4 linked regions of the Tamandua tetradactyla genome follow. The protein of the gene in region 1 interacts with the protein of each later gene in a pairwise test. Links are inferred from orthologs where the notes say so. Each region holds a gene or a part of one and is shown on either strand. Other genes may lie near its edges. The genes, in order: TPM3, TNNT1, HSF2 and THAP1.

Region 1 (7,878 bases):
CCAAGTAAACATGCAGTTACTGACTCCCTCCTCCTCCTTCCCTTCACCTTACATTTACAACAAGGTAATATGCTCTATTTACTTATTAATCTCAAGGGCAAAAGCTGAGCTTTTAACTTCCTTTATACTGGACAGAGCATCGTTCCCCCAAAGATGCATATATTATGCTGCGTATATTATGACTCTAACTCTTGCTCTCCATTTTAAATCCATTGCCCCTTCCTTATTTAGCCCATAGGCAGAACTGTGCTAACCCCCGCTTTGAGAAAAGAAGGCTTTTCTTCCTGCTTCCATTTTCAACCCACCCGAACAGACTTTGGCTTCATACCCACAACCTTCCTGTCCTATTTCTTGTTCTCTCACGTATCTCTAAGAATACTTCTTGGCCTGTTGGGAAAATTAACACAGGGGAGAGAGGTTTTGTCCCCACACTCTACATGTGTCATTGGTTTTTGTTAGATTCCTGTATAATTGTGAGGAGGCGTCTTTCAAATGAATATACTGAGTTGACCATATCTAGGTTGGGGTGACGTGGTTGTGTGTGTGTATGAGTGGTATGTGTGAGAAACAGTTAATATTCATCCCCAGGAAATTTCTTTATCTTTCTGATAATATGACTATATTGTCTAGAGCCTCTTTTTCCCTCTCCCTCTCCCAAGATCTCAGGTTAGACTTGTTTGGTTTTATTATTTTCATCACTCCTGGAAAAATCTCAAGCACACATGCTAGCTGTTTCAGCATAAGGACTTTCTCAGACAGTTAATACCCAACATCTCACAAAAATGTTATTAACCTAATATTGTGGCAGTTTTTGAGAGCTTCTATCCCCATGACAGCTTACTGGATCCAGGGAGTCTATCTGGAAACTAAGATCGGGCAACTCTAGCAGATCATCAAGCACTCGCCCAAAGCCCTGGGTTTTTTTTTTTTTTCTTCCAGTTTTTAAAGAAAGGATAATTAGTGGTTTGCAAAGCTCCAAACATTTGGAAACTATGGGTATATATAATATATATTATCCACTTTCTATGTGGCATCATATATTCAACTGTTACCACTTCTAGAGGCACTGAAAGTAGTGGAAATCGAAAGAGAAGATCTGAAACCTAATAGCAAAATGGCTGAATGTAAGGATCTGAACTTATTTGTGAATGCCCACTCTGTCCCTCTAGCTAGTTCCCAAATCCAAATATGATTTTCAAGTAACACATGCTCCTATTTTCCTGTTAATTCAGTTCTCTGAGAATTGTTAACTCAGTTCCCTCAGAATTGACTGTTTCCATCAATACTACGATATTCTTCTGTCACTGTTAAGATTCCTAAAGTACATTTCTCCCAGGAATCTTTCCTATCTAGTCTCTCATTTATTTTTGTGGTAAACTTCAAGGTTGAAGATGAAGGAAGCTAGGTGAATGGAGGATAATATGAAGTGGAAAAGAGGATTTATTTCATTTTCAAATGGGAAAATTCAGCCCTTGAGAAGCTGAGTGATTTACTCAGGTTCATAGAGTAAAGTCTGGTGGTGATACCCTTATACCCTAAGATTACTTCTTAGCTTCTATTATAGTCTAACACTATATGAACCTCCCTGCTGCCTTATGGCATCTCCTGGCATGAGGACAGATGTCCAGATTGGCCAAGATAAATAAATCCATACAGGGCCAGGGTCAGTGTGTCCTCTTAAGCCCATTGTGAAATCTGAGCTGTTTTGGGGGAAGCTGGGAGATGAGAGATTCCCTATTAATACACATATCTATGTGCCAAGTTTTGGACACAAAAGCTAAGAATGTAGCATGGGGGAGGAGGTAAGAGTATCAGCAGCCTGGACTTGGAGTCCCTTCCCTTTGTCTAGTTCCTGGGAAAGAGAATTAAATTCCAGGAGGCATGAGGGTAGATAAAAAAAAATATGAGATTTCTATATGTCTTAAAAAAATAAATATATATACCATTATGAGGGTGTTCTAGCATGTTATTATATGCAAAGATATGAGCGAGTATATATTTCTGTCTTCTGTGGACATACAAGTATGTATATGTTGAAGTCTGTGTGGAATTTAGTCATACATTAATGTGAACATCTTTATATAGAGATTACACCATCCCCCATCTAATACTCACATCAGCTGCCTTCTTCTCTGCCAGCTCCAGCTTCTCTTGGGCATCCTTCAAAGCCTCAGAATATTTGTCCAGCTCATCCTCTGTTCCTTTCAGCTTCTTCTGCATGGCTGCTAGCTCATCCTCCAGCTGCAGGAGTCCAGAGAGACACACAAAAACACACATACATAATAGTGCAGCCTTGGACTCTTGGCTCTTGAACGCTAATAGACTCTTGAGTTCAGCCACCATTTTACTATCCAGAGAGACACAATTTCTCTCTCATCATTTTTAGCCCCTGCCCCAAGAGTTATGCTATGACTTGGCCTATGTCTTTGTAATCTCTGACCCTAAGATGACCAAGCCATGCTGGGTTTTCATCTAAGACCCTGGGATGGCAAATATTATCTAAGAGTATAAATGTCTGTGACTCCATTTAAGGAAAAAGAGATGCTGCACGCCAGGCTCCCACCTTTTCCTCTAAAAGTCAGGGATTCTTCCAAAAGATGGTCCATTCCACTTAAATCCTTAGCACGGGCCACTGATTTTCCCAACATCACACAGGTAGTTTGAGGCAGATGTCCTCTGGCCTTCAAATGAGATTGGAGAAAAAAGTCCCTCCTACCCAAAGAAGAAGGTGACAACAGTGGTCTCTTCCTTTCCCATGATAACTCTCCCGTCTCACTATTTTGTTGACCAGCATGTAAGTGAGACCAGTGCCAGTGCCTACCTGTTTACTTCTTTCCTCTGCCTGTTTCTGCTCGGCTTCAGCTTGCTCTGCCCGATCCAGAGCATTCTCCTTGTCCAGCTTCAGCATCTGCATCTTTTTCTTGATGGCCTCCATCATGAGCGGTGGTTATTGGTGGGCTCACCTGGAGAATTGGAGACTAGGTCAAGAAAGGAGGGGCTGCTGCCTGAGTACCTAGGAGTTGCCTAGACTTGAGCCTTTATATCTGCTCTCAGCTCCACCTCTTGTTCCTAACATGGTCTTTCCAGCTCCCTCCATCCCATCTTTGTTTTCCTGGGGGAACACAGGGTGAGACACTTTGATAGACTGACATCACCAGCAAAGAAAAATTTGGGAACAGCTGAGGCTGATTTTAGAAAATGGAAAGTGGGGGAGGAGGCTCTCCCTGAACCCTGAAACTTTCCACTCATTCTGGGAAGCACTATGGTTGTTTTAAAAGAGCAGGGAGAGGGCCAGGGGAAGAGATAGCATTGATATCAGAGAAGGGGACTTTGGAAATTATAGAATGGCATTGAGTTTTCACCCAGAGTCCTAATTGCCCCTCAGCTTCTCCCTTACTCTCACCCGGACTGAGCTGGATACTGATCAGACTGCACTGTTTTTTTTTTTTATCATTTGATTTCTGGTAGTCAGGGAGCTTTGGCAACAATGAAGAGGGGAGGTCATTCATGATCCTTGACAAATCCCCCAGATCCCCAGATCGAATTGCTGTGTTATTTTGGGAATCCCTAAATGGCGGGGTGGGGGGCGTGGACATCTTCCTCCACCCTCCACCCACCCCCCACCGAAGAACCACAGGAATGGAGTAAGAGGGTAGGTTGGAATCTGGAAGGCCATCCCAGAGCTTGAAGTAGGGTGGGGAGAGAAGCAGGGGAGGGTCAGAGTGGGCGCGACAAGATAATACCCTCTTCTTCTCATAGTGTCTTTTAAATAGAACTTTTGTGCCCATACAGACCAAGGTTTTACTGGTCTCTACTCTTCTTTCCCCTCACCCTCTGCCCTTCGTACACCCCACCCCCCACCACTCATATCACAATCAGCAGCAGTAGCAGCTCTGTGCTCCCTGGCTCAGTTCCAGGGCATGTTCATTCTTCCACTTGGAACCTTTTTGCTAACAGGTGGCAGTTGATCCCAGTACACTGGCGCCATCCAACCTGAGAATACGCCAGGGGAGAGGTGGACACTGCTCAAGGTGACCAGAGCTATCAGGGGAGAATATAAATGTCTCTAATTAGTCATTATATCAAAGCTAGATTGAGAGTGTTAATGCTAAGCCCCAGCAATGGGGAAACGGAGATGACCTCCAGGGAAGATGGCAGAGCTGGAATCCACTTCTGAGGGCTTCAGTCACTAAAAGTAGATAAATTGATCATCAGATGTTTCTTGAAGGAAAGCATAGAAGCCCAAGGAAGTAGGGAACAAAAGAGTCCCAGGGAGTAGCAAATGATAAGGTGGGAGACAGGCTGGTGGGGGTTGAATAAGGAGGAAAAAAATACAAGGGCAGGAGGAGATAAGGAAAAGAGCTATATCACCTTTGTCATCCCACTCCCACATCAACACTTCTGTTTAAGATTGAAATCATCATGGGTTTTAGCAATCGGTCATCCAGAAGGGGTCCTGGAAAGAAGAGGTTCACTAAAAAAGCTAAGAATCACAGAGCCCAGAGGTTGAGGTAGGATAAAGTATAATGCTGAATCGCCAACTGCTGTAAGAATGTTTGACATTTAGTTGGTTTCTAATTAAACAACCCAATATCAAACATATCAGACAGAAGCGGGCAGGAAAGCTTTGGTGGTCATCTGCCTTCCTCCCTATTGCAAAGAACAGGCAGTGCAGGTGAACTAGGCATCGATCATAGCTAGATGGCTGGCTTTTGCTCATCAGCTCTTCATGCCATCCCTGCATTTGCTCCTCTCCTTCCACTGCTCTGGCCTTTACTGGATCACGTTGCCCTAATACCAGGGAGGATACCTGGCAGGGCTCCACATCCGGGCACCTATCCTCCTCAAAAGCTCCACAGAGCTTCTCCCCCTCATGTCACGGCTGCAGGACTCTGAGGATCAGCAGTGTCAGCAGCTTCTCCTCAGCCTGCGACTTGCTCTCCTCCTCTCTAATCCAAGTGTCCCGAGGCTTTCCATCCCAGAGGGGCTTGATACCCTGCTATATCTTTTCAATAGAAATCCTAACCTTTCCAGATCACCCCCACAAGGCTGCTGAGGTCCATTCTGGCATCCTCCTGCTCTTAAGTGAAATAGCCAGAGAAATTCCCAATTGCTTGATTTCTTTTTTCCAACATTTTGTCCCTTCTCACCTTCTCCCCATGTCCTCCAGGCATCTTCCTTAAAACCACCCTTGGATGTCCAAAACAGAGGAGTAACTAGTCTCACAAGCATCTCTCCAAGTTTGGCAGCCTCCAACCTAAGCTCAGAGGAGAAAACTTAGGGTTTCCACTGCCTGGCAGGATCAAAACTAAGACTAAGAGACCAAGGGAAAGAAACCCCCTCTACCAGGGAGCAGCCTGAAGTCCTTGGGACCCTCCTCCTCTTCTCTTCTTCAGGACTTTTTGCCACAAGAACACCAGTGCCGGGGCTGCTTTCTCCAAGGGTGTTCCCTCACAGGGATCTGGCCTGGTTTCCTTCTGGGGGATTTTCCTTCCGAAGAGAATCAGATCTGTTGAATGTCATGTGGCAGGCAGATGCTTCTCTACACTGTGGCAGAAAGGATCACGGGTTATACCAGTATGTGGGGGTGGGGTGGGGGTCTGGGGTAGAAGTGTGGGGATGGGGGAGGAGGCTGTGCTGCAGCCTCAGGGCCTGTTCCATGTGTCCTTGTTCCCATTAGTGCAGATACCCATTGCCCCTCCTTCCCCACACCAGCTCTCCCCTGCCCTTCAACTGGATCAATACCCTGCCCCAAGCCCCAGTCAATTTCTGTTGTGTGGCTCTTGCCCTCCAGGGGAAGACTAACAGCACCCAGCTAGGCACTTGTGGTATTCTCTCTCTCTCTTTTTTTTTTAATGCAATTTTATTGCGATACATTCATACAGCACAGAACCCATCAGAAGTACACAATCACTGATTCACAGCATCATCACATGGTTGTGTGTACAGCCCCATGATCAAATTCAGAACATTTTCGTTACCCAGTAAAGAAATAAAAAGAAAAAAGAAAACCTTAAACCTCCCATACTCCTTATCCTCACAGATTATTGACCCATAGTGTTAGTGTGGTACATTTGTTACTGTTTATGAAAAAATATTAAAAATTGCTATTAACTGTAGTCCATAGTTCGTAATAGGTACATTTTTTTCCATATACCCCTCTATTATTATCTGCTTTAGTTCATGAAAGTACTTTTTAATATTTGTACCGTTAATCATGGATGTTGTCCTGTGGTGTTCTCCCTTTTTTTTTTTTTTTCCTGTGATGTTCTCTTATATCCTTGTTCCTTCATGGCTCCCAATGGGGGTGCATGTAATTTTTGCTTTCTTGCCCTCCCTTTCCCTAACCCACCCCCCAATTTCTAATTCCCTTCTCGGAGAACTTTGACCACATTGGATAACCAGAGGTTAAAGGGAGGCAGGCTGGGAAAGGAAATGAAAGGACTTTAGTGTTCAGGGAAATGGGGGACTGGAGGGACAGCCTGGGAATACGGAGGTGGGGGGGAGCAACTCTCTTAGAGGAAGGAGACTTTGACTGGACGGCATACAAGGCAGACACATCAGATGGACTTGAAAGTTGTCTAGCTCTCCTGCAAGGTCCTCTTCTGCAGCCATGTCAAACAAGACTGAACCCTTTTGAGCCAGAGAAGCTGGGTGAAGGCACTAGTTTCAGATGGAAGAAGGGCTGGCTGGGCATGAGAAGGTGAACTACTTCGTTGATTTGATGAGAGCAGACAGAGTAGAGCAATAGAATCAGAGGAGAGGGGCTCTCTGGGAGGGGCAGCCTGCCAATACTGGAGCTAGCCTGGCATTGACAAGCCCTGGGGAGAGAGGCCAAGGTCAGGGATCAAGGCAGATGGGGTGGGGTATTCTGCATGTCCAGATGAACAAAGGAAAGAGGAACAGAGGAATAAAAGAGGTTCCTGAGGAATGTGGTTTAGGTAGGAGCAGCCAGGTAATGAAAAGGAAATAACAGAACATTATTATAGGGCAGGAAGACATCATCATGGGTTACCATTATTTGACATTATGTGCCACCTCCCCGCTAACTGCTTTATATAGTCTCCATTGCAACCCAATGAGGTAGAAATAATCTCCATTTTACATATAAGCAACTGTGACCCAAAAAGTTAAGACCACACAGCCAGTGACAGAGCTAGGATTCAAACCCAGATATGTTCAATGTTAAAATCTGTTTTTCTGACCAAGCTACACTACTTATATGAAAAGCAAAGAACAGCCTGGGATACAGATACATAGGAGGATAAGAGAGGAGGTGAAGGCAATATAGGCCTGCTGAAAAATAGAGGGCAGGGGAACGGGCAGAAAGGATGGGAGACTCATACAGATTTGTGGGTTAAATTCAGGCTGTGTGTGGCTTTGTCTCCTGAAACTCACCTCCTATTTGTTGTGACTTGTTCAATGTCTGCTTGCCCCCACCAGCCTGTGAGCCCCATGTCTTGTTGGGTGTAAGCATCCATGAGTAGTTACTGACTGAAGATAAGGGGGCTTGGGAAACCGTGGTGACAGGGACTAGGGGGTGAATGGGTATGTAGCACAGAGAGAGGAAGAAGAATGGGATGGAGAGTGACATTTGATCTGGATGAGTGTGCTGGCTGGAGGGTCAACAAGGAAACTATGAAGGGTCACAGGGAAATCTGAATGGGAAGGGGAAGATACCTACTGTACACAGTAGGTATCTACTGTGTACTCTGTCTATATACATTATCTCATTTAATCCACATAATGATCCTGTGAGATGGCACGATGTCTCCAATTTCAGAAGAGAAAATTGACGGGCAGAGAAGTTAAATAACATACACAACAATAAAGAGGTGAAGCCAGGATATGAATCAACACCTGGCTCCAAAGCCTATG
Region 2 (6,928 bases), on another chromosome or scaffold:
AGAGTGGGGAAGGGGCAGAGAGGTGGAGGTGTCAGGGGCTCCGGCGCGCGGAGAGGGGGCCATCGCAGGCGGGCGGGGGCGGGGCCCGGGGCGGGGCGGGGCTCCGGCGCGGGGAGGGGCCCTTGCAGGCGGGCGGGGGCGGGGCGGGGCTCCGGCGCGGGGAGGGGGCCTTCGCAGGCGGGCGGGGGCGGGGCGGGGCTCCGACGCGGGGAGGGGCCCTTGCAGGGGGGCGGGGGCGGGGCGGGGCCGCACCTGCTCTCGCCCCCCTCCCACTGGCGGAGAGGCACGCGGACCCCACCCTAAGGCCGTCCCTTCCCGACTCACCTTCGGGCTGCTCCCTGGGGGCAGGGTGGGAGGTGGGGGGAGAGAACGGAGGAAAGGGTTAGAGGGGTGTGTCGTGGGGGGTCTCGACGCCCCTCACGCCAGGCCACTCACTCTTCATATTCCTGCTGTTCGGTGTCCGACATCTTGGGGTGACCTGAGGACCAGAGAGAGGAGCGGAGTCGCAGGGAAGCAGGGGCTGGGGGCCTGGACCCCCGGGGGTGAGAGAGGAGGGACTGGGGGATCCCCGGGTGTGAGGGAGGAGGGGCTGAGGGAACCTCGGGTGTGAGGGAGGAAGGGCTGGGGGACCCCCGGGTCTGAGGGGGGAGGGGCTGGGGGACCCCTGGGTCTGAGTGGGGAGGGGCAGAGGGACCCCCGGGCCTGAGGGGAGAGGGGCTGGGGCCTGGACCCCCGGGTGTAAGAGAGGAGGGGCTGGGGGACCCCTGGGTCTGAGTGGGGAGGGGCTGGGGCCTGGACCCCCCAGGTGTGAGAGAGTAGGGGCTGGAGGAACCCCGGGTCTGAGTGGGGAGGGGCCTGGACCCCCTGGGTGTGAGGGGGAGGGGCTGGGAGACCCCCGGGTCTGAGGGGGGAGGGGCTGGGAGACCCCTGGGTCTGAGGGAGGAGGGGCAGAGGGACCCCCCCGGGCCTGAGGGGGGAGGGGCTGGGGCCTGGACCCCCAAGCGGCAGAGGAGCACGGGTTCTGGAAGATGGCCCTGCAGGTCCAGGCACCACCCACCGTGCAGCCCCCGCCCCCACCCCAGCTGTCCCCTTTTGTCTCCTGACAGGTCCAGGGGAATCTGATCTGAGCTGGGATTAAGAGGAGGTATTTGGGAAGGGACAGTGGCCTGAAGACAATAGCTGCCCCACCCCAAGGGCTATTTTGAGGGTTGGCGTAGACTGTGAATCAGAGGACATTTCCTAATAAGGGATGCGAGAATGGGGGGCTTCTGGCAGGACTGGTGATACCTCTTACCCTGCCCCCACCTCCCCTGCACCCCACTTGGCTGGGGGTCCTCCCACCTGTCTCCCCTCTTCACCTTCGTCCACCGCCACTGGGGATCATCAAGGGCAGCTCCTGCCTATGACCTCATCCTAACCCCTAAATACTTAGGCCCCCCCCCCAATTTCTGAGCTACCCCAGGTTCCAAGGTGCCCAGGTAAAGAAGACACCCTCTCCCCAAATCCCAGTCCTCCCCGATTCTGAAACCCCATTCATTCATGACGCCCCTGGATTCTGAGCCCTGCGTATCTCCAGGTTCTGCGCCCCAATTCTGGGTACTCCAGATAATGAGCCAGTACAGATGATGAAACCCCAAAGCCCTGATGCTCAGTTCGTGAAACTCCCAAATTCCATGGACTCAAACGCTAATACTCCCATCATAAAACCCCAGATTCTGAGAACCCCCAGGCCTGATACCCCAAACTCTGATAGCCAGACCTTTTGTCCTCCAAGTCCTGACACCCCCAATTTTTTAGATCCACCCTGCCTCTGGGACCTCTGAGTTCTTAAGGTGTTAATTTCTGGAGCATCCAAATCCTGGTGCCCCCCAGATCCCCAGAACCACCCAATCCTAATACTTTAGGATTAAAGTAAAGTCTGAACCTCCTAAATTCTCAGATCTCCATCTTCATGTCCCCTCTCCCTCCATACCTCGCCGCCCCTCTGCTGCCCCCTCCCCAAAGACATCCATGTCCTGGGGAGACCCCAGGGCCCTTTTACCTAAGGCGGGTCTGCGGATGCTGTAAAGGGATGAGCTGACCACTGCCGAAGGACCGAGGCAGCCCACGGGTTTATAGTCCCAATGGGCCCCGCCCCTGGGGGGGGCTGGGGGGGCAGCATTCCTTCCCTCAAACACTAGCGCCCTGCCTCCGAGGCAGGCTCCTCAGCCAGGGTCCAGGCCCCTCCCCCACCCCCTGGGCTCCCCGCTGGGCTCTGTGTCACCCCATGCCTGGAAGTCTCTGGACCTACACATAGGAGGCCCTTGGAGGGAGGGCTGGGTGGGGCGCAGCCCTCCCCATGTCTCTGGGCCTCCGTCTCTCAAACCTTGCTTGCCATCCGTGTCCTCCTTTGTGTGTCTGTCTCCACTCCTCAGTGCTTCCCTCTGTCTCCCTCTCCCCGCCCCCACTGCTTTGTCCTCCACCAGGATTCCACTCTGATGACAACAGGCCTAAAGCTGGGAAGCAGGTGTATGGGGGGGGCAGTGTCCATAGGGCCTGGCGTGACCTCGGCCCCCCGCCCCCCCAACTGACAGGGATCGGCTTGGGTAAACCTGCCCTCCCGGCCCAGCCCTGACCTTGTCCCCTCGGGGAATCTCCTGGCTCTGCATCTGTGTCTCGGGTCTCTCTGGGCCTCTGTGGTTTCCCACTCTGTGTGTCTCTCTGACTGCTTCTGCCCCGATGTCCCCGTTGTTGACTCTGGATCTGCCTCTGTGGGGGCCAGGTGTGGGTCACTCTGTGTCCCCTGCTCTGTCTTTCTGGGTGACGGCAGTTCTCCCTCATTGGCTCTCTAGCTCTGCCCCTTAGCGGGTCTCCACCGCCTCTGCCTCCCTGTGTGTATATGGCTGTCTCTCTTTGCACTTCTTTCCATGGTTCCGTGTCTTCCTTGCTCTCTCTCTCTCTCTATGCCCCTCCGTCTGCCTGACTCCGCCGGTGTGCTCTGTCTGTGTCTGTGTGTCTGTCCCCCAGAGCAGAGGGGCCGACAGCACCCGGAGCGCGAGCCCCGCCCTGCCCGTGCCCTGGACTCTCCTGTCTATCTCACGCGGAAGTCCTGGGGGAGTAGACACGCAACCACTCCCAGCTCAGAGAGAAGCTTTATTCCTCGGGCCATCCTCAGGGCCAGGCTGGCGGGCAGGCGGGCTCAGCCCTCAAACTTTTTCTTGCGGCCCTCCATTCCACTCAGCGCGTCGATGTTCTTGCGCCAGTCTCCCACCTCCCGGATTTCCTGGGAGAACGGGACCAGAAGTTAGGGTCTCTCCCTGACCTCTGGCCCCTCAAGGAACCCCACGTGCCCTCCTTGCTGCCGAGTGGCTCTACACTGGATGCCAGTCCAAGGGCCTGATTCGAGAACATTTCTTGCCCCCTCAAACAATGTCTGTCAACATGCACTTCCTGTCTCCGTCATACGCTTCCCGTTTTCCTTCATGTACTTCCTGTTTCCCCTCACGCACTTCCTGTTTCCCCCACGCACTTCCTGTTTCCCCTCACGCACTTCCTATCTCCCTTCTGCACTTCCCGTTTCTCCTCGTGCATGTCCTGTCTCCCTCCTGCATTTCCTGTATCCTTCATGCTTCTCCTGTTGTCCCCCTGCTCTTACATCCGTGCATAATTTCTCTCTTCTATGATACTTTCTGTCTGCCCCTCCCTCTTCCTGCCCCCCTGCTTACTTCTCTTCTATTTAACTTGTTTTTGCTTTCTTGACCCCGTCCTGCACTTCTTGCCTCCTTGATGCTTCCTCTCTTCCTGTAACATTTCCTGTCTTCCTCTTGCATTTCCTATGTCCCTCCTGTACCTGGCACTGAGGACCCCTTACCAGCTGCTTCTACCCCAGACTCCGTGCACCACCTCCTTGGGTTATGCCGTAGGGTTGCTGACCCCCAGAGCCCAGGGACCGCAGCACCACACTCACCTTCTCCGTGTCCTCCTTCTTCACCTGCTTGAGGTGGGCGCGCAGGTCCAGGGACTCCTTAGCCCGGGTCCCCAGCAGCGCCTGCATCATGGCATCCGCAGAGATCTTCACTCTCTTCAGGGTGGGTCGCTTAAACTTGCCCCGAAGGTCGAAGATCTTCTGGGTCAGATCTGCGATCTGGGAACCACATGGGGATCTTCCCTTGACTACCCTGTCATCCGGCTTTTCCACCTACATCCCCTGCCTTGCAGTACCCAGGCTTCATCCAGTCCCCAGCTCAGGCTCCCACTGGCTTCAGGACAAAATCCAAACTCCTCATCCTGGAACGCAAAGCTCTCTCTGATCTATCACTTCCCGCTCCAGACACACATTCCCACCATCGCACCTTCTGCATCCCGACTGCTGCCTGGTTTGCCACAGGCTGCTCCCTCTGCCAGGAACACCCCTTCCTGGCCATTTTATACTCATCCTTCTGTCTCCTCCCCACCAGGTCCCCACAGTTTTCCCGGGTCTGCCGGGGACTGCAACCAAAAGGGGCTGCGAGAGGTTCTCCCAAGACATCCCACCCCGCTCTGACGGGCACCCCAGCGGCCCAACATCACCACCTCCTTAACGTTCTTGGTCACTTTTGCCTCCACGTCGTATCTCTCATCATCCACCTTGTCCACGCGGGAGTGGAGCTGTCGGCACAAGTCCTGGTGGAGAAGGAGGGTGCATGGGGGGCGGGTGGACGCTGGGGGCCTGAGTTCCTGGGTCTGACACAGGAGGGGCTGGGGGAGCAGACTCTTGAATGTTTAGGAAGGAGGAGACTGGGCCCCTGGACATCTGATCCTAAAAGAGGATCCAAACAAAGGGTGCTCGGAGCCAAGAGAGTCTGAGGGTCCTGAGCAGAAGGGGTGAGAGTGACTGTCCCAAGTGCCCAGGGGTGCAAGACCGGAGCCCGGGTCCGGAGGGTCCCAGGCTGCGTAGGAGCCATGTCCGGCAGCCAGTACCTGCAGCTCCGCCAGGCCGAGCCCTGCCAGCTCCAGGGGCTGGCACCGGGCGCTCAGGGCGCGCCCCTTCTCCCCGCGCCGCTCTTCCGCCTCGCGCTCCAGCTCCTGCTTGGCGATCTGCAGCATCAGAGTCTGCGGGGTGGCAGGGGGACCGCAGCCCACCCGGGTGGCCGGATGAAGGCTCTCCCCGGGGGGAGTCGCCTCTGCCTTGCCCTCTCATCCCAGGCCCTGTCTTCGGGCCTCCAGGGACCCGCCCCCTCAACCCGGTTGTGGGGGGTGCTGACTCAAGCCACGCCCCTTCAGCACTGCCACGCGCGAGCCCCGCCCTCACTCGGTCCAAAACCACGCCCCTGGCGCCCGAAGCCCACTCTCAAGCCCCACACTCCCTCCCTCTCGAGTCCCGCCCCCCCCCCCGCCCCCAGCCCCGAGCACCGCTTTGTCCCCTCACCTTCAGCAGCAGTTTTCTCGACGCGGTGATCTTGGACTTTTTCTGCCGCGGTGACATGCGGTGGGAAGGAGCAAAGAAAGGTGAGGGAGGAGGCCCCGGGGCAGGCGGAGGGAGGAGCTGCAGCCCGCGCGCGCTCCAGGCAGGTGCGGGTTTCCACGCAGCTCAGCCGGGCCCACCCGTCCGGGGCTCCGGCCCCGCCCCGCCCCTCCATCGTGGGTCAGCCGGGGGCCCCCGAGGCGGCGCCCACCAGTCCCAGCCCGGCCTCCGCGGGGCGCAGTCCCCGCCGCCCCCGCCCGCAGGCCCCTCTACCCCCATGGGCGCCGTCGCCGCTGCGTGGGCCCCTCACTTTGGCGTGCGGCTGCGTGGCGTAGGCGCGGTAGTTGGCTGAGGAGAGGCGTCGGATCGGGGCGGGCGCGGGGCCCTGGGTAGAGGGAGCGGGGCTGCGTCACCCCGGGGTGCCACCCTGCCCTCCCCAAGCCCTCCCCAGGGGTTACCCCGGCCTCGCGGTCCCAGCCTGCTGCTCTCACCGCATCGCTGCCCCTGCAGGGAGAGAAACCGGGGACAGGGACTTGGGTCGCGCCTCCTCCTTTTCTAAGCGACCCCAGGGCCCCTCTGACCCGGAGGTCGTGCCACCGGCTCCCCCTTCATTAGGTCCCAGGCGTCCGGCTCCCTCCCCTCCACCTCTGGACAGACGTCCCTCGCCTCGCTCAGGGACCCGGGACGCGGCCCCCACGTCTCCAGCCCGGGACCCCAGGGTGCCGGGCCTCCACCCCTCACGCACTCATCCGCCATGCCGAGTCTCAGGCCCGGATCTGCGAGGGCCAAGAGACAGATCCAGGGGTCTCAGAGGGTCAGTGAGGGGGCGCCCGGGTGACCTTGGAGGTCCCTGGGTCGCTCGGGTCCCTCTGGCTGCTCAGGCGTCCCGAGGACACTGAGATAAAGGACGAAGGACAGAGACTAAATATACTGCGCCGCCTCCTCCCTCTGCCCAGGATGCGAGATAACGGGGCGCGTGAGGGGCGGGGCTGGCCGCGCTCCAGCTGGATCTCCCCGCAACCTTGGCGGCCGGGGCCCCCTCGCCCAGCAGACCCGGCAGTCCAGGCCCCCAGCCCCTCAGTAAAATGCAATGTCCTCTAGAAGGGGACGTCGCAGGACTCCAAAGTGGGGGTTTCGGGGAGGGGGAAGGGGGGCCATCCCCGGTGGGTGGCGGCAGGTGGGGGTGAGGCGTGATCAGAAGCCCCATGACAGCTAGACCTTAGTCTAGATCTTTTCCCGTCCGGGTCAGCACCCAAACCCTCAGGAAGTTCTTCCATTGTGGATCCAGGCGTGGGGGTCCCGGCGCCCACCCCACAGCCCTTCAGACGCCAGCTCCAGTTCACGTGGAAATCTCGTCTCGGGTCTCCCCTCCTCACTCCCCAGGCCCCTCCCGCCACCAGCCGCTGGAGACAGCCTGGGCGCCAGAAAGACACACGGACACTCGGAGAAGAGCACTCAGCTGTCTTTACTGGAACCTGTTGGGGGCCGGGCCGACCGGGCAGGAGA
Region 3 (7,667 bases), on another chromosome or scaffold:
AAAAGAAAAAAGGAAAAAAAAAAAAGCAACTTCCATGGGAAGACTATGGGAATGAGTGAAATATGCACAGTATATGTTTTCTTAAAGGCATTCTGAATATATAGATGTTTCTATTATTTTAGGGTCAAAACATGTAGTATAATAATTTTGGTTGCTCAGGATATATTTCTACATTTAATGATGAGAAATTCACTTTTCAATTCTGTCCCATTATATGTTTCAAGGAAAACTAAAGTTATCTTAAAGTTTTCAGAAATACTAAGCTAAGCTTTCAAAACTTCAGTTAGTAGTTTACTCCCCTTGACTTGCACTCAAGCTAGACAAGTAAATTATTTTTCATGACTAGAAAAAATTTACATAGACGATTGATTGCCTGGTTTCCAAAACATCTGCTGCGTCTAAAAAAAACTTAATATATTTTCTCTTAGATAGTATAAATGTTAAATTACCTCAACAGTAAGTTTAGCAAAACGAGTCTGAAGAAATCCAGAAGCAACCATAAATAGCAACTTCTAAAAAATGGGAGCAGCTTAATTTGTTCTTCCATCTAACATCACTATTTAATTCAAATTTTACCTTTCAGTGTTAACATGGGTTTTAGAAAAACGCATCCAAGAGCAACAGTGAGAGATCGCAGCCCTAAGTAACTAGTTTAGTCCTAGATAGGATTTATCCAGAGTTGTCCACAGACTTGTGAAAGTGGAGGAACAACATTTTGGTATAAACCTAGATATCCTACCAACAGGCATTACGTGTAGTGCTGCTGATGGAAAGCCTATTTGGAAGCTAGGACATCTATGTTAGAGTCTTACCTCCAATCTTGGTTGGCTGTGTAATGGATAAGTAATCGAAACACTGTAAAAAGCCTCAAATCCTCATCTACGTTAAGGATAATGCTAAACAAGATGATCTCTTAGATTCTTTTCAGGGATAATTCTATCTTTATCATTCTTACCACTTCCATTACATCTACTATGGGGATTTCATCCATGCATCAAACATTTACTAAGCACCTATTTTATCACGGGGATAGACACCGTTCCTTCCCTCATGGAGTTCAAATTTTAATTATCCCATTGGTGTATTAGAAAATGCATAGTTAAAGCTAAGTTTAGACTTAGTAACAGGACAAACAAGAATGATTTTACGTGACTGTTTATTCATAAATGATGTATTTATGAATTAGTATGAAACTCTCCACATTTGACATTTTCCATAAAATAAGAATACTATCAAGATATTTTGGTTAATGAGAATATATTAGACCTGCCACTGACATAATATCCTTTAAATAAAACCAACGCATTTGGGAAACATTTCTAGGCAGCAAAAATAAGGCTTATACAAACCAAAACGGTATGATCAAGTTAGTTGGGGGAGGGTGGAGTGTGGTGGAGAATCTCAGTCCAATCTCTATCATGAACACATGGTTGAATAACAGCAGCCTGTGCTGATCCATTCTTGTCAACTTTTAATCCTTCTGACTGATGAGAAGCATGAGACATCTGCTTATTTTTAAGTACATGCTGGCTCCTGGCTTCCTTACTTCCATCTTTCTTTGTAGAATTGTACAGAATTCATCAAATGTTTAAGAACAGAACATAGGATATAACGTTAGGTCCCCCGGGGCTAAAATGATGACCCAGGTGACCATACTGACCTCAAGAAAATTAAATCCTAGGAGTGAGATAAAAAATGGACAAATGACAGAAATACAAGGCAAAACGTGGTGCTACAGTATCCCAAACTACATGTACTAAATATTGTGTTTCCTGATGGGGGGAAAAGGGAGGAAGGGATATAACATTGACTCAGCATAACAAGTGCCAGGCACTGTGCAGGTAGTTTTTCACTTACTTTTCTCCAGAACTCGACACAGGAAAATATCCCAAACTGATTATTCACAATAGGAGAAATCTACTTCCCAGTACAAACTGATCCCAACAGCCTAGGAGTGGATCCTAACGTAAATGCACGGTTGATGTAAATATCTACCCACTCTTAGAATCTCAGTATTTGGAACTGGAAGGGGCTTTCCATCTCTCCTAGGCAACCCACTCATCCTGATAAGAGGCAGGCCTGGGGGCTCGACTCCGGTCATCCTTGTTCAGTGGCAGAGCTGGGATCAAATCAGTAATCAAGACATTCATGTATCACTCAGCTCGTAAAGTGGAGTGAAATTTGGTGATTCATTTTAGCTCCTAAGTTACTGAATCACCCGTCTAGTCACACTTCTATTAAAACAATCATTAAAAAGCTGTACAAAAGGCCGAGAGTCCTCAAAGAATCATTTTTCACTTTCAACGTAATATTTCAAAAACCTACTGGAACGCAGTAACCTCGGTTTGAACATTTGCCTCCTTTCCGCAGACGCCGGGCGTAAAGCGCCGTGCGCGCTTCTGCGAGGAGAATCAGGTGCCGAGGCGAAGATCCCCCCCGACAGAGCCCCGCGCGGGCGACCCCGGGCTCTCGGCGAGCCACGCGGGCGCACGCAGGGTGCGTGGGCAGGAACGTGCTCCTGCGCTCCCGGCCGCCGCCTCCCGCGCCGGTTCCGAACGCGCCCCCGGCCGGACCGTTACCGGGCCCCGCGCGGGCCGCCCCTCCCCCACCGCGGCCTGAGGCGGCGGAGCCCGGCCCTGCCTCCGCGGCACCCCGCGCGAACAATGCCAGGGGTCCCCCTCGCGGGCGAACGCCCAGGCGCCGCGCCGCCCCAGGCCTCGCAGAGCGCGTCGGGCCGCAGGCCGCGGGAGACAAACCCGAGGTGAGGGAGAAGAGAGGAGGCGGCCGTTCAGGGGTCCCCGAGGCCGCCGTGCCCCGGCCCGTACCTGGCTCCAGGTGATGAACTCGTTGGTGTGGGCCTCCTCTACGAGAGTCCACAGCTTGCTGAGGAAAGCCGGCACGTTCGAACTCTGCTTCATTGTTAACGAGGCGCAGGGATTCCGAATTCTAGCCCCGAACGCGGCGGCGGCAGCGGCAGCTGCTCGCCGAGAACGCCCACCACGCAGGCGCAGCGGCGCGCGGGCCCCGCCCCCTCCCCCACCCACTGCCGGCCGCGGCAGGCGCGCGGGGAGGCCCGGCTGCCACACGTGACGGACAAGTCTCAGCGCTGGACCCGCGTATATCGGTCCCCCGCCAGTCCGGTTCCTGGCCAATCCCAGGAGCCGATCGCGGCGACACCGTAAAGCGATTGGGTGTCGCAGACGTAAAGGGGTGGGAGCAGAAGGGGGCGCTGCCTGCTCGTTCGCCTTTTATAAGGAGCGCTTCGCGTAGCGGACCTCAGGTTTAGGGGGCTGGTTGGTTGCCTCTCGTGGGGACAGCTTTGGGTTCCCGGGCTGTGGCTGCGATCCTGTGAAAACTCCCTAAAGGGCCTTTGAGTCATAAGTTTGGCAGGCAAAGTGTGGTTTGCACCACGGGAGGCAGTAGTTTCAGCATGATGTGCTAGGCCCCAAATGGAAACAGTCCTAAAAATAATGAACCTTGTCCTCGTCCTTAATTTTTCATTGGGAGGAAGTGGCTCCTTTAAAATGTTTATTTAAAAAAAAAAACTCATTCATTGCTAAGCAGCTATTATTATGAGCCAGGAGCTGTCATAAGCATCTTGTATTTTTTCCATTCAGCAAACTTCCAGAGCTCACTGTAGCTCGGCGTGGAAAGAAATAGCCTCATTCATACTATTGTAGTCAATTAAAAAAAAAAGTTCCTGTATATATATTACAGGTATACTTTTGCTTGTTTGAGGTAGTTTGGTTTAATGGAAAGATGTTGAACAAGAAGTCTGCAGATCTGAATGTCAGACCCAGCTTTGTGTATACTAAATTACCCTGGTGTGTAATTCAGAGCAGTCTCTTAATCTATCTGGCCCAGTCTACCCCATCTCTTCATTGGGAATAAGAATATTTGTTCTTTCAACCTTATTAGTGACTTTAATAGCCTAATAGATGTGAAATGCTTTGAAAATACCAAGTATTCTACCAAATTATACTTTAAAAAGTCAGCATGGAAATATAAGAATTTACAAACCAGTCAGGGATGATAGTTAACATTTTGTAAAATATTCAACAAAGGATTGTTTTACTTTCTGGGTACATGTAAATGTGTTAAAAATAAAATTTGTACATCTTCTGATGAATTTTTCCATCAACCACTAATTATTTATTGAATATTGCCTTTGTATTCAGCACTGGTCTGTTTTCTGAAGCAAAAATCATGTGTGTCAAGGAGAGGGGAATGTAAGAACTAATATTTCATAAGTGCCTATATATGCCAGGGCTTTACATATATTATTTCATTTCATCCTCACAGTAACCCAATAAGCTAGATCTTACTATCCATTTTTTCCAGTGAACATTCTGGCTCCAAAGTGAATTAATTTGCCTGTAAGGCATTTTGAGCATGGTCTATCTATGGTGGGCAATGGCTAGATTGGTAATCTGGGTGGGTGGTTAGAGCTGCTTTTAGCCTACTTGTATGGCTTTATCTATTAAATTCCATCTAAAGAAAAGTTGTGGGTTGATGCAGGCAGAAATCACTCGTTCCGCTTTTGTAGTACAAAATTGTACTACGAGATGTACGTACAAGATTGTATGTTGTAGATCTCCTCGATCTGTGCAGTCATATAGAGCTCCATGTGTAGTAGCACCCTGCACTTGGTTTAGTGCTTTTATCACCACCTAGAAATTCTCAATTTTTGAACAAGGGTCCCTGCATTTTCACTTCACACTTGGCCCTGCAAAATTGTGATATCCTCTAGACCAGTGATTCTCTTAAGCATGCATCTGGATTGTTTGGAGATGGCAGATGGCCAATAAATAAATTAACAAGTGACACAGGTAGTTTTTTAATACTCATAAGACTAACTAAGAGCATAAGTTATTAACCAGATAAGGAAGCCATGGCTCTGGGAAATTAAACGACATGTTCAAAACCACATGGTTGATGTGCTAGTTTGAAAGTGATGTAACCCCAGAAAAGCCTTGTTCTTCTAATCCTGATTCAATACTGTGGAGTGTAACCTTTTGATTAAGTTGTCCCCATAGAGTTGTGACACACCCAAATATGGGTGTGACCTTTTGATTAGAGATGTGACCTCACCCATTCAAGGTGGGCCTTGTTTAGTTTATTGGAGTCCTTTTAAGAGAGGAACATTTTGGAGAGAGCTCAGAGCTGACATAGACAGAGACATTTGGAGATGCAGAAAGAAAATGTCCCCAGGGAAGCTGTTTGAAACCAGAAGTCAAAGGACCAGCAACGGCCAGCCACGTGCCTTCCCAGCTAGCAGAGGTGTTCCAGACCCCATTGGCCTTTCTTGAGTCAATGTATCTTTCTCTGGATGCCTTAGTTTGAACATTTTTATGGCCTTAGGACTGTAGACTTAATAAATCCCCTTTATAAAAGCCAACCCATTTCTGATATATTGCATTCTGGTAGCATAAGCAAACTAAAAGAGCTTAGGTAGGAACTGAAACCATATCTTTCTTAGTTTAAATCATACGCTTTTTTCCTTTACACCAGTGAGTCTCAAATTTTATCCTACATGAGGATCACCTTTAGGCCTCCCTCTTACCTCCAAGTTTCTGATTCAGTACAGAATATTAAATTTTTCCATACAGAAAATTAAATTTTTCAGTACAGAAAATTAAAAATAATTTGCGTTTTTAACAAGTTCCTAGGTAATGTAAGTGCTGCTAGCTCCTGGGATACCTATAAGAACCGCTATTACAGAGACAAAATTAGTTAACTGACCTTTTCTTGCTAGCATGTACAGACTTGTTACCTCTTAACAAAATCTAGACATTCCAGGAATAATTGTAACCACCTACTGTTTCATTTTTCTGTGTACTTAATTCTTAACTTTTATTCTAATTAATAACATGTTCTGAAAACTTTATTTACTAGAGACATGTTTGGGGAAAAGAAAATAATTTATTGGCTTTTTCTTATTTGTAAAACTGAAAGGGTAAGAAAAACAAGTCAACCTTTTTATTTCACAAATATTTGTCACCTAAAATGTTCCACAAATATCAGAAGAAACAGATCTGAGGCAGTGCCGACAGTTTTGAAATGTTTAAAATATTAGAGGGTAAAAGTATCAGTTTCTTAAAGTGAGTTATCTTCTATTAACTCCAAAGAAAAATATTGGACTATTTCCATGGGTCATTTGCATGGAGTTTAAGATTTAGAAAATTTAAAATAATGTTAGAAAACACAAGTGACCTAGGCCTTTGCCCAAGAAATAGAAAAACATATTATGGAGCAAGGTGATGCTTTAAAGCAGCTGATTCAGATTGCTATAAATTCCATCCAATCAGTTATGTCAAATTTAGAATCAGTAGTGCAACTAGAATCAGTTTTTTAAGATTATTTTCAAGGCTGGGATGATTGAACTAATGGTAAACTCATAGAACTTTCCGCCTACATTCCTATCTGGACATAGTGTTCTCTTTCCTCAATTCTGGAATGACCTAGAAGAATTTAGGCAAGCCACTTAGCATCTCTGAGCCCTAGTCCCTTATATATAAAATGTTAATTAAAATATCTGCTGTAATTACTTCACAGGATGGTTGTCAGGATCAAATAAATAGCTTCTTTCTCCGCTTCACCCTCACAATCTCTACAGATATTTTTCTATAAGTCTGAAAAGGTCACTTGCAGACTTAAAACCTTTCAGTGGTTTCCCGTAATTTTCAGAACAAACCCAACCCCCTTAGCATGGCATAAAAGGTTTTCTGTTATCTTTGCCCCACCTACTATCCCAGTCAAGGCCTACCATTCATTACAAACACCTCACAGTTAGCCACACCCAATTGCTTGATGACCAGGCTCTTTTACACTTCTGTGTACTTCTACAAGCTGTTGCTTCTAGCTGGAGAGCCTTATCCCTACCCACTTCCACCTCAAGTTTCTCCTTAACCACCTCAAGTACAGTCTATGCAGAGGTCACCTCTTTTGGAAAATCTTCCCAGGTGACCTTTATTACAGCACTTACCACATCTTATTGTAATGATTTGTTTACATGTATTTTCTTATACTAAAGTATGAAACTTTAACGTAAAGACTATGTCATATTTATGTTTATTTCTATCTACTTATCTATAATGGCTATCAGACAGCCTGGTACAACTTATTGAATTAATCAATGAATATATGAACAGAACTAGGCACCATCATCCAGCCAGGTATGTGCTAAACATTCCTTTAGTCTTCCTAAGCTAGATTCGTTATTCCTCCCATATGCTATCATAGCTTGTGGAATTTGACCACACTTCTCTTGCTTATTTACTTTTCAGCAACCCTTACTAGACCAGCAGAGTGAATAAAAGGTTCACTTTTCTTTTCTTAGCACAAAGCACAGCTAATGACAAAGTAGCTACTCAATAAATATGGGTTGAATGAATAATTTCAGTTTTTTGAAACCCTTGGGGAAAAAAATACTCTGCCTAATAAGAGGGAAAACCCCATACAGTTATTAAATGTCAATCCATATAAACTTGTTGTTTATAAGGGAAGAAAATTAAGAAAAGGAGAGCTTAAGGGTAGGTCAACTGAGAGACATATGACCTGGGAACTATTAGAAGAGCAAGTAACAGAATCCTAGAAATGACGGACATTGATAGATTGCTATAGGAGGTCCAGGTTTGAGGTTATTTATGTTTTAATGATAGTGTCAA
Region 4 (7,190 bases), on another chromosome or scaffold:
CTTCCTTCTAAAAACAACAATGCAGAGTTATGTTTGAATTGAGTAACTAAAAATACAGGTTAAAGAATTAATCTGTAAAATTTAAGAGATATTAGACTGCTATGTGAGTCCATGGTTAGCGAAACTGTCCAAAACAAGAAAACAGTTTAAGTTTTAGTTATACTTTCCTACCTGAAGTAAAGCATGATGCAATAAACAGGCAGAACAAGCACTTCAATTTAATTAAATATGTACTAAGTGCTTAAAACTGAGGAACAAAAGACTATGGGCTGATAAAGAAAAACCCAAACTTACCAACATACAAGAAGGGTTATAGAATGATCTTTAAGTTACAAAGTCAATATATGTTTCTAAGAAAGAAAATATTTATTTAATAAACTGCATCTTATGTTTTTAAACAGTATATTTCTGTTAATAGTAGTTATTTATAAGTAATGGGTACTAGGTAGTATTTATTTTCTTAACATTACTCTGAATTTTCCAAATTTCCCACAATACATACATTAGTTTTATAAACAGGAAAGCACCTAATATTTTAAAACACAATTACCTTGTCATGTGGTTCAGTACAAAGAAATATCGTGGGTACAGCGTTCTCTTTCAGTAACTTGTTGTTGCATTCCCTCTTAAAGCAGTCTGGAGTAAAGTGCTCTGAACAAATACTGCTATATTTGGTGGGTTTAAAGTTTTTCCTTCTCACAGCTGCCTCCCATTTTTTACAAAGACTGGGTCGTGTAAGAGGAAACCTAAGAAGATGACATAACTCAGTTCTGTGACATTATTAAAAAAAAAAAAGCACTACCTTACATTGGTGTTAACATACTAAAGAACTTTTGTTTAAAGAATAGCTCCATATATCTATTTAGCTCATTGATTAAAGTTAACTTTATTTGAAGACACAAAGTCTCAAACAATATACTTGTCATAAAGTGAATTTGTAGTATTGTTTATACCAGTAATTTTCTGTACGTATGTGTGTGCTGTAAAATAAAGTTGCACATTTATATCTATGTGCTGGGAAGAAAACTCTTCTAGTTCTCAAGAATTAATCTGATAAATATGAACAGATGGAATTTGAATTAATCAAATTATAGGCGAATGATAATGATAAAGAAATAAAGAAAATTATGTCTTTATTTTGACTTACTTCTTAAGTAAATGGAGTATCTCCCTTAGGCCCAGATAAAGGGAGGTAAGAAGAATTTAAATTTACTGTAATTTTATTTTCCAGGTCAAAGATCTAGTAAACCCGGAGGATTTCAAAGAAGCCAAAAAAGCATATTTCAAACCTATATTCTATTCTACAGTTTCTCTTTCATCTAAGGTATGCCAGGGCCTTACTGCTATTATCATTAAGAGCGAACTGATCTTAATGACAATCGCCCCTCTTTGTCCAGCACAGCTCATCCTGCTGTCAACAAGTTTAAACTGGGAGAAAAGGTACTTCTAAGAGGGTCCCTGCTGCATATGGCCTCCTGAACCAAGGTACAAATTCTCAGGTTGTGTGTGAGGTTCTGTCAAGATCTTTCCCATCTCAATGGCTGAGAGATTCCAAACAGAGTCGAGAGGTTATCCTGCAGGTTATTCTCATGCATTAAGTAGATGTCACCTTGTTATCTAAGACGAAATGGAGAGGCTGGAGGGAACTGCCTGAAAATGTAGAGTTGTGTCCCAGTAGCCATGTTTCTTGATGATGATTGTATAATGGTATAGCTTTCACAATGTGACTATGTGATTGTGAAAACCTTGTGCCTGATGCTCCTTTTCTCTACCTTGTCAACAGATGAGTAGAACAAATGGAATAAAAATAAATAATAGGGGAAATAAATGTTAAAATAAATTGTTTGAAATGCTAGTGATCAATGAAAGGGAGGAGTAAGGGGTATGGTGTGTATGTTTTTTTTTTCTGTTTTCGTTTGATTTTTCTGTTGTCTTTTTGTTTCTTTTTCTGAATTGATGCAAATGTTCTAAGAAATGATCAGGATGATGAATCTGCAGCTATGTGATGATATTGTGAATTACTGATTATATATGTAGAATGGAATGATCACATTTTGGGAATGTTTGTGTTTCTGTAATTTTTTTAAATAAAAAAATCATAAAACAAACGTTTTTTCATAAAAAAAAGATCTTTCCCATCTACTTCCCCAAATACTGTTTAGGTAAGGGGTGAGATGCAGTTAGCTGTTCTTTAGAATCAATCGTTTTAATATCCAGCAGAAATTCAATGTTTCTAATGTGTGAATGTCATCCTTAACCACTTTCCAGTGCCAAGGAAGAGTTTTTAGATTCCCTCTGAGGTGAGGTATCAACAGAAATGCGTGGATGGGGAGCTGAATGCAAACGATAGTGGCACTATATCTGACCTATTCCTACTGGAAGTCAATGTCATTAGGGTTCTGAGATTACAATAAATCAAGAGATATTAGGCTCTACTGAACTGAATCCTGCAAGTATTCTATACCCTCCTACGTGAATCTATGTTCTAAGCTTCCATTTCAAGATCTACATTCTAGGCTCCCATTTCTGTAGCGTCAATCTCACATTATATCAAACAGATTAAGATCATCCACATCCCCGACTAAACATAAACAGTATGTAATCCCCACTCTCTATTTCCCCCCACCCCAAAGAATACTTAAAATTTGGCTTTTGTAATTATTTGAATATGAAAAATTTTTGATATTTTACTATTTGCTCTGATTTCTCAGCTATCTATGTAGATTCGGAAGCTCTCGCAAAGAAAATTTAACGTAAATTTAAAATCTGTAAATACTAAGTTTGGCTGAATAAAAATGCCGTCATGGCCCACGCTGTAGACATTCAACATCAACTCAATTTCGATTTTGTAGTTTTCCCATTGAGAAGACAATATTTTTCGCCATAAGGTTGTAATTGCAGCACCTACTGGATAAAACAGCCCTGAAGGCTGCGAGGGCTTCCTCTATGTTCCCACAGTACCTCATATTGACCTTTATCACGGCATTTATTATGGTCCATATTACGACTACGGTGTGCTGAAAAGACAATCAGTTATCGTGGCAGTACCAGAAGCTTTCCTCTAAGACTTAGGAGTCCCTGACGTTGTTCCTTTGAGTTAAATAAAAAATTAATAAAACGCTCCCTCAAATCCTGGCCAGAAAATGAATCCATACTGCTGCGATTCTGGCCGCCCATTCACAGAAAGTTTCTCAGGAACGAAAAACTGACGTCCACCGTCTTTGTAAATGTCTTTGTTTCTATTTCAAAAACGCCGCTGAGGAGTTACCGCCACCTCACTCTGCAGGGCTCGGATCTGAGAGCCTCGACATCTCAGCACCCGAGGGGACTCGGCGCCTCGCCCACGGGCTCGGAACTCGCCACCACGAGTCCGTCAGCAAGCGACACAAGTGCGCCTCTCCGACCACGAGTAACGGTCACCGCGGCAACGCACCGCGAACGCGCGCGGCCCGGAAGAGCGCGGCTCGGGCGCAGGAGCCGCGCCTCTCCACGAGGACCCCCGCCCGGCACGCCCCCGACGCGGCGCGCCCCGCCCCTGCCTCCGCCCCCTGCTCCTGCCTCCGCTCCCTCTTCAGTCTCAAAGCAGACCCGCGCCGGGCTCCGCCCCCGACACTAGCCGATCGCGCGTCCCCAGTCCCAGCTGGGGCCGGTCCCGCGAGGCACGGAGGACACTTACTTGTGGAAAGAAACGGGCTTATCCTTATCATATCGGTTCTTGCAACCGTAGGCGGAACAGGACTGCACCATCCTTCCGGTCCTCAGTCAGTTCACTTCTGCCGTCACGGCAGGCAGGTGAAGCCGCTATCCGTGTCGCCGCCTTCGGCTTTGACACCCTTGTTTCTTCTGTAGCTTTGGCCAACAGTTACAGTGATGGTAGCCTCACTCGGGTATGAGTACCGCGCCCGTTCTGTTGCTTGCTATAACAGAAAGACCACAGCCATCGCCCGTCTCCCATCTCCAAGATGGCGGAGGCAGCTTCAACTTCACCTCTCGCGAGGAGTTCATTCCACTCTCACTGATTAGCTCCAAGGTCAGAGGTAACGTTTCCTGGGAAGCAGGCGATTGGCTGAGACAAGACGTCTTGCGCGTTGGGGGTCTACGTTGAGGAAGTGGGCGGGGTCCCCGAGTTTTTTTGCAGAGAGAAAGAGGGATTAGGGGAGAAGGGTAGGCTAGGGGCGCGAGAACTTGGCCCAAGCTCCAGTTACTCCTGGAGTCTCCGTGGGTAAATTTGTCCAGAGTTTTCCTGGGGCGTTTTAGGATGAGGAACAAATATGGCCTTTTGGGTCCGAGGACCTAAAGGAGACCAGAGTGTAACGCTGATGTGGTTTTCTAATTGCGCTCATCTTTTGAAGGATGGTCACGGGTGGTATATCATTGGTAAACCTTCGCAGACCCCTTTTCCCGAGCCCTAATCTTGTCCTATTACCTGTCTTTCCAGGTATCCCAAGGCCCTGTGAAAACCCAGGTGACAAATTTTTAGCGATGTAAGAAACCAAACACGCACACACTCCCACGTGTTTGGCCTAATCCTCTCTGGCTTCGGTGAGCCATTCCGTTGCAACTAACCAAGCAAACCCGCTTCTGAAGGCTGTTTCTACAGTGATCTCCAGCTGCTGTGCTGGAAATCACGAAGCCCTACAGCGATTATCTCATTGAAGAAAGGTCTTAATCTTCCTTCTTCCTTGCTCCCCTCCTTTATGTAGATCAGAGTCTGGAAACCTAGATATTGTGTTGAGTAATTTCAGACCTCTTTCTGCCTCTCTTAAATGTGATGTTTCCCATGTGATGTGATCCTCTGCCCTCCTTGTAAACACCCTGCTCCTTCACCTCAATCAAATGCCATGACATCCCAAATATGTTATTTCTTAAATATGTGTTATGCCTTCAGTAGTGTCATCTGTCAATTGTCTATTCAGTTGGTCAAGCCAGAAACCTTGGAGTTTCTGGGATTTCCTTCTTACCCGCCACATCCTCTGATCACCAGGTTATCCTATGAAATAAAAACCTCTTAAATCCATCCTTTTGCATCTCTTCTGGCACTGGTTCTTGATCAGGCCCCACATAGTTTCCTTCCCTTCCTATTGCTGCAACCTAACTGTCCTAACGTCAGGTTTTGCCTCTATTCAGTCCGTCCTCCACAGAAACAGATTATGTCACTCCACTGCTCACGTCCTTCAGTGGCTACCCTGGCAGTGTACTGAATAAAGTCCAGACTTATGGGGACACAAAGTGCTTTAGGACTGGATACTCCTCTCTACTCTTCCTTCTATTTGTCCTTAAACTGTTTTTCAGCTTCATGTCTTACAGAAGGTAGGCTTTCTCATGATTTCCTTAAATAGGCTCTTTCCCTTTGCCAGAAATGTCTGTCCCTGACCTGTCAACTTTTAAGATGTGATCTAAGTGTTTTCAAACTTTCCCTACCCTCTTTGTCCTTTTCACCATAGGCATCTCTATTATTTTATTTATTTTTCTTAACTTATGATCATTTCATTCTATATATATAATCAGTAATTCCCAATATCATCACATAGCATCTCTGTTATTTTAATGAAATCCTGTTTTTTTTTTGCAGGTAAATTTTTTATCAGCTTTATTGGAGTATAATTTACATAAATTAAAATTCACAAAATTTAATTCTGCAATTCACTGAGTTTTAAAAACATATATGGTTGCATAGTTCCTGTTACAGTCATGACATAGAACATTTCCATTACTGCAGGAAGTTCTCTTGTGCTTCTTTGTAGAAAATTCTTTCCCTCACCCACAACCTTTGGCAAACATTGATCTGATTTCTGTCAATTCTGGAAATTGATAGAATTTTACCCTTTCTAAAATTTTAAGGTACCCGCACTTATTTTTCTATTGCAGTTATAAGCCCGCATAGTGTAATTTCTGTGTACGTCTGTTTTCTTCACTAGAACTATGATCCTGTTGAGAACAGGAACTGAGTCTTTCATAATCTTGTAGCTTGCAGTGTCTTGCATAAATTAAATATTTAGAACTTTTTGGTTGAATCAACTGGGCCCAGAAACTAATTCTAAAATAGTGTAAGGGCCATATCCATATACAAAAGCACCAGAATAATAGCTTATTAGCATTCCAAGTGGTTATTGAGACGGGTGGTAATTTCTTCTGTGGTTCCCTGTGCAATAAATGTCAGAATGCGATAACTGAACTGAAAAAGTACGTTTTAACTCGGAGTTCACTGAACTATTTACTCATCAATTGATTCAACAAATATTTACTGGACATCTGCTATGTTCTATACACAGTTCTAGGGGTTTGGGATGCATAAGTGAGTGAAACAGGTTTTTGCCCTCATGGAGCTAATTAATTTTAATGAGGGTTGGGGAAGGCAGAGAGGAAACATAAGCAACCACATATGTTGGGCGAAAGGTGCTACATGGAGATGAGGGATAACAGTTTTAAATATAATGCAGAGGCCAGGCCTAATTGAGAAAGTCACATTTGAGCAAAGATTTGGGGTTGGTGAGAGAGCTAAGGGTATCCTGAGGAAGAACCTTGCAGGCAAAGGGAATGGCTAAGGCAGAGTTCATAGGGTCACTGTGTTCCTGTAATGTTTAAAGAGCAGCACAGAGGCCTATGTAACTGGAGCCAGATAGACTGGGGGAGACGAGAGATGAGGTCAGAGAAAACCAAGGAACAAGATTATGTAAACCCTTGTAGGCTAGTGTAAGGACTTTGGCTTTTACTCTGAGTGAAATGGAAAGCAGGGTTTGATACAATCTTTTAAAGAGATCTCTACTGTGTTGAGTATAGATACTGGGACAACTAGGAGGATAGGAGACTGGTTATAAGGCTGCTGTGGTGATGTAGGTGAGAAATAATGGTGACTTGGGAAGCAATGAAGGAGTAAGAAGTGATCTTTCCTTGTGTACTCTCCTGCCTTTTTTCCCCCTTTCGTTTATTTATTACTCTTTATTTATTCAGCCCCTACTATTGTGGCAGATGTTATGCTAGGTCTAGAATATATTGGTCAGCAAGACAAAGTCTCTGTCTGCATAGAGTTTATATTCTAGTGAGGGGAAAACAGTCAGTAAAAATGTAAATAAAATAACATTGTGCTAAGATGCCTGAATACAGCAGAATGCTCTAAAGGTGACTTAGGGGAATGGAGAGTCACTACCTGTTTTAGCTGGGATGGTTAGGTAGTTTGTCAGAGTTGGGAA

Evidence for each region.
Region 2: the proteins of TPM3 (region 1) and TNNT1 interact in binary tests that used the Homo sapiens proteins (3 or more experiments, as listed by UniProt). The two-hybrid records come from large-scale screens. The link is inferred for Tamandua tetradactyla from reciprocal best matches to the Homo sapiens genes TPM3 and TNNT1.
Region 3: the proteins of TPM3 (region 1) and HSF2 interact in binary tests that used the Homo sapiens proteins (3 or more experiments, as listed by UniProt). The two-hybrid records come from large-scale screens. The link is inferred for Tamandua tetradactyla from reciprocal best matches to the Homo sapiens genes TPM3 and HSF2.
Region 4: the proteins of TPM3 (region 1) and THAP1 interact in binary tests that used the Homo sapiens proteins (3 or more experiments, as listed by UniProt). The two-hybrid records come from large-scale screens. The link is inferred for Tamandua tetradactyla from reciprocal best matches to the Homo sapiens genes TPM3 and THAP1.

The regions. Positions count from the first base shown.
Region 1 is NC_135330.1:7,154,255-7,162,132, forward strand, and holds the start of TPM3 (tropomyosin alpha-3 chain), read right to left. Parts: upstream 3,022-7,878; 5' UTR 2,939-3,021; coding exon 2,822-2,938; intron 2,242-2,821; coding exon 2,116-2,241; intron 1,949-2,115; exon of another isoform or gene 1-1,948. UniProt on the Homo sapiens protein: Binds to actin filaments in muscle and non-muscle cells. Plays a central role, in association with the troponin complex, in the calcium dependent regulation of vertebrate striated muscle contraction.
Region 2 is NC_135342.1:4,549,660-4,556,587, reverse strand, and holds the start of TNNT1 (troponin T, slow skeletal muscle), read right to left. Parts: upstream 3,016-6,928; 5' UTR 2,821-3,015; coding exon 2,616-2,820; intron 2,190-2,615; exon of another isoform or gene 2,042-2,189; intron 479-2,041; coding exon 436-478; intron 339-435; coding exon 325-338; intron 1-324. Other genes in the region: TNNI3 (troponin I, cardiac muscle), read right to left, coding at 3,179-3,262, 3,947-4,123, 4,552-4,641, 4,939-5,070, 5,387-5,428, 5,881-5,926, 6,168-6,178. UniProt on the Homo sapiens protein: Troponin T is the tropomyosin-binding subunit of troponin, the thin filament regulatory complex which confers calcium-sensitivity to striated muscle actomyosin ATPase activity.
Region 3 is NC_135331.1:183,474,700-183,482,366, reverse strand, and holds the start of HSF2 (heat shock factor protein 2), read right to left. Parts: upstream 3,006-7,667; 5' UTR 2,919-3,005; coding exon 2,826-2,918; intron 1-2,825. UniProt on the Homo sapiens protein: DNA-binding protein that specifically binds heat shock promoter elements (HSE) and activates transcription. In higher eukaryotes, HSF is unable to bind to the HSE unless the cells are heat shocked.
Region 4 is NC_135329.1:18,331,015-18,338,204, forward strand, and holds the start of THAP1 (THAP domain-containing protein 1), read right to left. Parts: upstream 3,013-7,190; 5' UTR 3,001-3,012; coding exon 2,909-3,000; intron 747-2,908; coding exon 551-746; intron 8-550; coding exon 1-7. UniProt on the Homo sapiens protein: DNA-binding transcription regulator that regulates endothelial cell proliferation and G1/S cell-cycle progression.